Linked DNA regions of Nothobranchius furzeri. The protein of the gene in region 1 interacts with the protein of each later gene in a pairwise test. Links are inferred from orthologs where the notes say so. Each region holds a gene or a part of one and is shown on either strand. Other genes may lie near its edges.

The links.
Region 2: the proteins of rabac1 (region 1) and dusp12 interact in binary tests that used the Homo sapiens proteins (3 or more experiments, as listed by UniProt). The two-hybrid records come from large-scale screens. The link is inferred for Nothobranchius furzeri from reciprocal best matches to the Homo sapiens genes RABAC1 and DUSP12.

What each region holds. Positions count from the first base shown.
Region 1 is NC_091745.1:74,795,105-74,799,649, reverse strand, and holds rabac1 (prenylated Rab acceptor protein 1), read left to right. Parts: upstream 1-1,580; 5' UTR 1,581-1,715; intron 1,716-2,706; 5' UTR 2,707-2,720; coding exon 2,721-2,842; intron 2,843-2,919; coding exon 2,920-3,132; intron 3,133-3,275; coding exon 3,276-3,373; intron 3,374-3,580; coding exon 3,581-3,682; intron 3,683-3,801; coding exon 3,802-3,890; 3' UTR 3,891-4,437; downstream 4,438-4,545. UniProt on the Homo sapiens protein: General Rab protein regulator required for vesicle formation from the Golgi complex. May control vesicle docking and fusion by mediating the action of Rab GTPases to the SNARE complexes.
Region 2 is NC_091751.1:58,772,042-58,776,576, reverse strand, and holds the start of dusp12 (dual specificity protein phosphatase 12), read left to right. Parts: upstream 1-1,437; 5' UTR 1,438-1,501; exon of another isoform or gene 1,502-1,577; 5' UTR 1,578-1,670; intron 1,671-4,535. UniProt on the Homo sapiens protein: Dual specificity phosphatase; can dephosphorylate both phosphotyrosine and phosphoserine or phosphothreonine residues. Can dephosphorylate glucokinase (in vitro).

The DNA of each region.
Region 1 (4,545 bases):
ACTATTTTATTTTTCTAATTGAAACAGCATATTGTAGTTTTCAACAAGAAAACTAAAATAACTTTATTTGGCACAAACTTGAATTGTAGAATTGTGCATTCTTTTTCCTGTCTTTTGGAAAAATCTCCGACCTCATGCATACTCCAGATACAACTCATAAATCTTTAGAGAAAGGGCTTGAAGGACTTCCACTTACTATTTAAGGAAAACGAGGTTCTTAAAAGCAACTTTTGTCAAAAAAAAAAAAAAAAAAGAAAAGAAGAAAACTCATTTTCAAGCTATTTTGGGAGATATTAGGAAGTTAGGAAGTTTTGGGGGATGTTAACCTAATTTAGTAATTTAGCAATATTTTAACACAATTATCAATTGTTTGAATAAACGTTCTCCAGTTTGGTTTATTTGCTGTTATTTACCCTATTTTGTTGAGCATTTTTTTAAATAATCTATTAATACTGATTGTTATTGGAAATTAAACAAAAATATAAAATATAATTAGCTTTTTTGGGGAAAATGCAACTATTTACACCATATTTTCTGACATTATTTATACTTATAGTCGACTAAGTTATAATATATATGTGAGATTTTGAAAAAATATGACATAGAAATGTATTTTCCTCGGGAGTCAGGATATAAAATGTTAATGTACGTGAGCTCAGTGTGTGTGGAGCTGAACATTCCTGCCTTTTACCGTTTCAGCTTGACGCTCTCCACACACACGAACCAGTCAGCGGTGTCGTTTTTATCTTCAGGCAAAATGTGTATGAAAGCAGCTGGAGGCTCCTGAAACGACTCGTTCCTCTTGTGTTACGGTTTTACGCTTTATACGAGTTTATGTATCCTGTCACGGTTTCTGTGGAGAAAAAAACGGTCATTAAACACCCAGCCAGGACAGCTGTTGAGCTGAGTAAGCTAAAGAGCCGAATAAGCTAAAGCTAACGGAGCCAGCGTAGGCTAATATGCTGCTATGGCGCTGTGTCCCCCTTTAGTGCATTTGTAAAAAAAAACGCGTACATTTTGTTTTAGCATTGAAACGTTACTTTATTAATGACTAACAAAAACAGAACTGTCATAAACCCCAAGGTCTGAAGATTACATTTAACAACACGTAAAAACATTCCAACAGCTAAATTTGATAAGATAATTAATAGCGCCTCACCTTCTAATGTTTGTTTCCTTTCTTTCGCTGGCGGATCTAGCAACTTCCACAGTGCCGCGTGCCCAGTGACGGCAGCACCACAACACTCGTCTATCTACCAATCACAGCCTCTTTGTTTGTTACATGACGTAAGGTCACGTTTTTACCATTTCTGATCTGCAGTCAGTTTTTCGTGCTTGTGTGGTTTTGAGCAGCCACCGCAGAAAACAGGCAGCCGATCTCAGGTCGGCTTTTTCAACAGATGTGTTTTCGGCTGTTAAGAGAAAAAACTCCGTTTTTTGGATGAAGTAAAAATAATGCAAAAAAATAAATAAATAAAATAAAAAGTAATACAAATGAAAAGTTCCACCTGTGTTGTGTAACACAAAATTCGAAGTACTCTATGTAGCCAGTAGGTGGCCCTGCCTAGAGTCAGCGAAGTAGGAAGTTTTTTCTTCTTCTCCAGCAGCCACATCACTTCCGAGATCCAGAACAGCAACAAAAGACAGCTCAGGCTGTCTGGTGAAACTTCTGCCTACATTTTGGTGAATGATTTAAGGGTTTAGCATTTTGGCAGGTATGTTGTAATTTAAATTCTTATTTTAAAAACAAGTGAAAATTACGTTGACGTTAAATAAAATCCGGAAGTAGACGTAAACATTAGCTCATAAGCTAGCATTTTACATTTACATTCAGGTTTTAAATAGACTCGTCGTGAGTATAATATTTATATTTGAAATTGCTACTTCTAGACACTGTTGTTTGGTAACGAGAGTTTCTCGGTTATCCTGTTTATTTAGTGATGTGGCACTGGCCGGGCCCTGTTTCTACTTCTTCCTGTTTCTCTAACTAAGGATCGCCATTAAACTAGAAAGACATGTAATCATTAGACAGTGATTGTTTATACACTTGAGACCGTTTTAGATTATGACGTGTCAAATGTGGCGTTTTAAAATACGAAAAATCAAAAGTTAGCTCCATTGACATTTGCGATTATTGCTTTCAAAACAGCTTAAGAACCAGGGAGGTTTACTGGGAACACGAGGAATATGAAAGATAAAATAAGAAGTGTTGGGGTTAAAACATGTGTCTACAGTAGATCTGAAGGTCAATGAAAATGGTGCAGTTATAGAAACGACCATATGTCAAGTTTTCAGTCAATATATCTTTTGGAATCCGTTTTGTGTGTGTGTGTGTGTGTGTGTGTGTGTGTGTGTGTGTGTGTGTGTGTGTGTGTGTGTGTGCTAAAGTACCTTTTTTTAATTTCTCAAATTGTTTAATCTTTGGTATTTTGTCATCGATTCTAATTTAAAAAATAGGATTTAAATGTCCACTACACTACACTACACCAGTTTCAGAAATGTTTTATGCCTGAAGGATTTATAGACTAGAAATAAGGGGCTTCATAGGCAAAAAATAATAATAATAATACATCTACCAGAAAATGAGTGGAAACGCAACCAAAGTCTAAATAAGATGCTACACCGTTGCATCAAATAAAAATGAGTAAATCCAGGCTAATTGTTTTTGTAAAAGTTTAGTCCACATTCAATGTGATTCTGTTTCAGTCAACAGTCTCTAAATGTTATCTGGAGTGCCTAAAGGGGAGAACGTCATGGTGGACATGGACAGCAAAGCTGGAGATTTGTTCATCCCAGATGAGGCCCATCCAACCGGCACAGGGGGCATCGGAGTCCTCTCAAGGTGTGAACCACCATGCTTTCATATTTTTACCCTGGCTTTGGTGTGTTGATGATATTCTATTTTGTTTATTTTTATAGGCTCTGGCTTCCTAAAGGCATCTCGGCCAGCATGGCTAAGGAGTGGTTCGACAGGCGCAGGTTGTCCATCCGACCGTGGGCCAGCTTTGTAGACCAGCGCAAATTTTCAAAACCTCGCAACTTTGGAGAGTTGTGTCAGAGGGTGGTTAAAAATGTGGAAGTTTACAACAGCAACTATACCTTCATATTTCTGGGGCTCATCCTCTACTGCATGTAAGACCTAATCAAAGAGAGCTTCATTAAAACAAAAAATGTTAATTAGATCATCTGTGAGACTCTGGCTTCTAGAAAAATGTCGACAGTCTGCTTTAAATAGCTCCAGCCTGACAGCCCTGTTCATTTTTCCTGCTCCTCAGTATCAGCTCGCCCATGCTGCTGATTGCCTTAGCCGTGTATGCTGGTGCCTTCTACGCCATCCACCTTAAGTCTCTGGAGTCCAAACTGGTTGTTCTCGGTGAGTACATTTCCTACAAATCCATAATCTTTTCAAATTTACCAGATTTAGTTTTTTTTTTTTTTTAACATTCAAGGTCTATTTTTTTTTATTCTGTGTGAAACCTTTTAAATATGTCATCCATGCCTGTTCTGGATTTAACCCACGCTGCATTTAGCACCACAAACCCTATTTTTAATATTTTTCTTCATATTTCTTGTTTATCAGGCAGAGAACTGACAGTCCCACACCAGATGAGTCTGGCTGGAGCCGTTTCTCTGCCCGTTTTCTGGTTGGCAGGAGCCGGAGCCGCTGTGTTTTGGGTTCTCGGTAAGCTGAACATGATTTGTTCTTTCCTCGTAATCTTTTTCTGATGTTTCATCTTGATTAAGAACTAAAATCGTTTCTTTTTACATCCATTTTTCCTGTTCTGTGTGGTTTCCTGTCAGGAGCAACTCTGTTTGTGATCGGCTCTCATGCTGCGTTCCGAGAGTTGGAGGCGTCGGACCTGGATGAGCTCCTCATGGAGCCGGTCTAAAGAGCTGCTCCATGATCAGTCCTCGTTTTGACCCTTTGAGAATCTCCTTGAAGATTTTTTTATATCTATACATATATCCTTCTTCCTCATGTTTACCTTATGGCATTGTATTACGAATGCACCTTATGTTGCATGATAAATAACTGTTGTTACACAAATGCATAAATAATGAATTTCTTATTGCTTGAAGCACATTATTCGCCTTTATCTGCATATATTAAGCCTGCGATGCCTCTGGTTTGTGCCATGAAGCCTCTTGCTCTTTAGCGGAGCATCTGCGCTGAATTCCTAGCTGTGGGCATCCTGCAAAGTAAATTCTGACGGCACCATCCAAACTGCTGGTATCGACGCATGTCCGAAGGTCAAGTGCCATTTAGTTTTTTAATTAGTTTTGAACATTATGTGGCTTCTCTTTTTATTTATTTGATCAGCTCTGGTTCAGACATTCTGGTGGGAAAGGTCACGAAAAGCACATTTTAGAAATTCATTTGTAAATTATGCGTTCTGTGCTGAAACGTTGGAAGTGCAATAAATTCTGTTACTGTTACTTGTCTTTAGTTTTATTCTCGTAAGAGTTGGCGTGTACATGTGCACGCACGGGGCAGTCGCTGCGTCGGACTCGGTGGCCCTCGGCACATATTTCTGTATGTGTTGT
Region 2 (4,535 bases), on another chromosome or scaffold:
TGAGCTGTTTGAGTGGTAAACAAATGTCGTAATGTAACCACAACCCAACAGACAGCATCCCAGTTACATAAACCCGTCGTCTAACAGCCTGAAAATGGTTTGCTGAAAGTCTTACAGACCATCTGGTAGAACAACTGAACAAACACACACCAACACACCCAGTTATGTCCCCATTCACCTGCTGGAACTCTGTGTTGTTTATATTTGCCTATTTTCTAACAGTCAATTATGTTTGTTCAGCAGCCCTCTAATGAGAGGGGAGTAGTCCCAGCAGGGTGTTGTACTGGTCAGATGGTTAGATTAAAGAAACTCATAAAGCTTTATTAGAACCCCACACAGTGACCAGACAGTGGGCCGAAACACTGGCGGGCCATTCAGAACGCCACACACACACACACACACACACACACACACACACACACACACACACACACACACACACACACACACACACACACACACACACACACACACACACACACACACACACACACACACACACACCAGACAGACATGATGTGTTTAAAGAGAGTCTGGAAACTACAAACATGACAGAAAGACGAACAGAGATTCTTTCAACTGTTGCTTTAATTGTTGCTCTTTTAATGCAGCCGACAAAGTCAGACTGTTCATGAGAGAAAACAAGATCATCATTTACTTTATTCAGCTTTACTGTGTGTGGTCAGTGTGGACTACAGACTCACATTACCTCACGTCTTTGGTATTTTACTCTATTTCCTCTCTTGTTTTCTTTATTTCATTATTATAACTTTATAGAGACTTTCATGGTTTTATATTTCTAATGTGGTGAGAATGACTTCTTTTTGTTTATATTGAATATTTTTGGTTAAATGTAACCTTCAGCATAATTGAATAAGCATATTGTGGCATCTGTAACTTGTTCCTGTTTTTAAGATTTTACGTTTTAGCATGATGGAATCTTCCAATCAGGTTTCAATCACTTATTTTATTAACATGTTTAAAACAACTTTCATTGATCAAAGCCCTGTACAATTTTTAAAATGTGAACAATACCTCATAAAGCAATCAAATGCCACGTGAAAGGATACAAACAGATAGAAATAAAATCAAAAGCATCGTGAAATCAAGCAGTCTTAAAAATTTGTTAGTTTAATATGTTGCTGTGTGAAATTAATTTTTTTTCTGATTTCCTGATTGGCAGATATATAAAATCCTATTTACTCGTTTTTTTAGTCATTTCATCTTCTCAACTAGTAATCATCATAAGGCATCATATTTCTTATAAATATTTAATACTGAGATAAAGAAAAAATGTTATGCAACTAGCTGGGTTCAAGAATCTAAACGAGTTCAATTATTTATGGATTGAAATCTTTAAATATTTTCAGAAATGAAAAGTTTTTAAACGTAACTAAAGGAGATTTTTTGTTATGTTTTTCAAGGCTGGAACAGAAGAATCTAACCATGTTTCCGTACGACACCATTTTAAAGACGAACCAAAAACCACAGGACCGCAGTTGTACGTCGATCTTGTATTTTTTTTAGTATTTTACTGCGCTGAACAGTAATTGTTGATGCTTTTTTTTATTATTAAGAACTGTAAACAGCTGAAGCTGGAAGAACGAGGTTAGCTAACTGGCCGCGTGACTGCGTGACTTCGTGGGTTCTTGACACATTGTGAAAACTGGGTGAGTTCAGTCAGTTTTTTCTTTTTTTTTTTGAATTATTAAAGATTAATTAAGTTTTTAAAACAATCTAGCAAACCCTAATAATAAATTAAAGGTACACTTGTAATTATAAGTGTTTCAGCAATATTTCAAATGAAGGTCGACATTTTGGCAAGTTGTCATGACTGAATGAATGTTAGTTAGATTAATAAGGTTATGATGAAGCACCCAGCCTGCAAATTTTATTTTTTTGCCCTGAAATAATTTGAGTGGTTTTAGGAAGTGAAATGTATACTTTTGTGTTTTTCAATAATGTTTTTCTTGAATAAATGTTTATGTGTGCTCATAGCGTATCTACACAAATGTTAAAACCCTTAACAAACGCTCTTATTTTTTTGGCCAACAGTAGTGAAAAATAACTGATACTGTGCTATATGTAACCAAGGTTTAGGAGAATTCTGTTTTTATATAAAATATCATTCCATTAAAATGTGCTTAAATAATTATATCTGACATAAATTAATTGAGGAAAAACCATCAAGTACGTCATTTATTGATAAACTGTCAAATAAATAAGACTTCATTGATTAAAAACTGCTATTTAATAGAATTTCTGTCGAAATATGGTGTTACTACGTTTCCCATGATCCCTCGAGAGAACCCGACCAATTGGAAAAATACCTTGCTTAATTCAAATGTGGTGATTAAACTTCCTGAGTTGAAAATTGGCAAATTTAAATTAGGTGAACAAAAATGTAATAACAAAGTACTTGGAAGTGCCGTAAATCCTCTAATACAGGCCTGTATTCAATGAACGGCCGGGTCTCATATTTTGGCCGGTGTCGAAGTCGGCGGAGGTGAATAATGGCCGGTCTCTTATTGTGGCCGGGTGGAATGTGGTAACAAGCAAGTACGGGGGGCGGTTGTGTCATCGTCTCACTTTTGATTTGCCAGTGATAGACCGCGAGGGTAACTTTAACCGTGCAGAGATGACGAGGAGGCGAAAATTTGATATTGTAGCGACCCCGAGCGTCTCAGCGGCAGGTTTATAGTCCCCAGATCAACCAGCAGGAGGAAGCAGAGGTTCACACAGACCTTTATTGGGATTTTTCTTCAACAGTTTGTAACGCTACAGACACCAATCCTCTTATCACGCTCCTACCACACAAGAGTCACGGTGTCAGTTAACCATGCTAATTCAACCCGCTCCACAGAACACACATCACCTTCCCTGTGGCTTACATTAGCATAACACTCACACAACACGCAAATCAACACATAGGAACTAGCAGAATGATAGGAAACACATATAACACAATACCCAGAATGCACCTGGCTTACAACCCCAGCCAGGTCATTACAATATCAAGTTCAAAGAGAACGTGCGCTGCAGAACACTGGGGAGCAATAGTCAACTTCACTATAGTGACTTTTTATGCCTGTCATCGACTAGTCGCTGTCACGTGATAATGACCGGCAAGATGCAGCCCTTGGAAAAGACAGCAGCCTGCTGTCAGCAGGTGACAAGCTCCTGCGCTCAGGGGGGGGGGGGGGGGGGGCAACGCGCTGTGCCAGAGCGTCGGTACTGACACGCGACACTGACATGTCTTTTATTTGCGCCTGATACGCTTCGCTGTGGAGCGGGGCGCATCACCTTGTCATCCGGTGACGCACCGATCACTGATGCGGCCACCAAGCAGCGAGCACTCCGCTGTTTTTGCGGTTGGTAGATCTGCGTCCTGAGCACGGCCACAGTAACATTATCAAATCAGGTGTCGCCACCTCAAAAACTAATTTGACACGCGATCGTTCATGTTGGTTCATTTCCTTTAATGTTTTCTGTCTTTTATTTGTGTCTGATGTGTTTCACTGTGGAGCGGGGCGCATTACCTTGTCATCCGGTGATGCACCGATCACTGATGCGGCCACCAAGCAGCGAGCACTCCGCTGTTTTTGCGGTCGGTAGATCTTTTAGACTTGCAGTTCAAAGGTAACTCATAGGGTGAATATATATGAACCCAGGTAGCAGTTTTTCTTTAGGATTGAGAGGAGATGCAGGAAGATAATAAACAGACAGGACAGAAAAGTGGTCAAATAAAAACAAGTTAATTTTTGTACCTGGTGGTTGCAACAAACAGACACCATTGAAGGTAATCAGAAGTGAGGAACAGAAAATGAAATAATTATTTTAATGTTTAGAGCAGCAGGAACTCCAAGAGGCTGCAGGCGCATCAGTGAGTTTGCGGCCGCTGCGCAAGGGGAGGGGGGGGATGGCTGAAGCAGAAACTACCGTTGTTAAAAGAAATGTGTTTAACTTTGAAAATGTGGGCGCAATTTTAACTGTCAAAAACTCCAGCGAACCATTAGTTCATTTTGCTCAAGTAGAAATAGAGGCCTGCCTCTAATTCTGGCCCTCCTTCCAATAAAGGCCTGGAGCTTGATGAGCTTGAGTCAAATACAGGCCCGGGCCTGTATTAGAGGATTTACGGTATGTTAAAAATAGTTATTCTATGATATTGACAAATCAAAGAAAATAAAAATCACAGGAAAGGAAACTACATTAATAAAGCCATATTGCAGCTATCTTGAATGGCCAATTGCACCCAAGTTGAAAGAAATTCAGTTCAAAATAATACATAATATCAATCCTGCTGCCGAAACATTAAGAAAAAGATTTAATTTTGAAGTGAACCAGTGTGTCTTTTGTACGACAGAATGTGAAACTATTGAGCACCTTTTCTTCTCGTGTTCAGTAACAACTGATTTTTGGGAGGATGTTTATCGATTATTAAATATTGAGAGAAATGATGTATGGCTTAACAAATCTAAAGTGTTGATCTACATGGATGCTCTGCCAAAAAAGATGTCCAAAATGGTGAACATTAT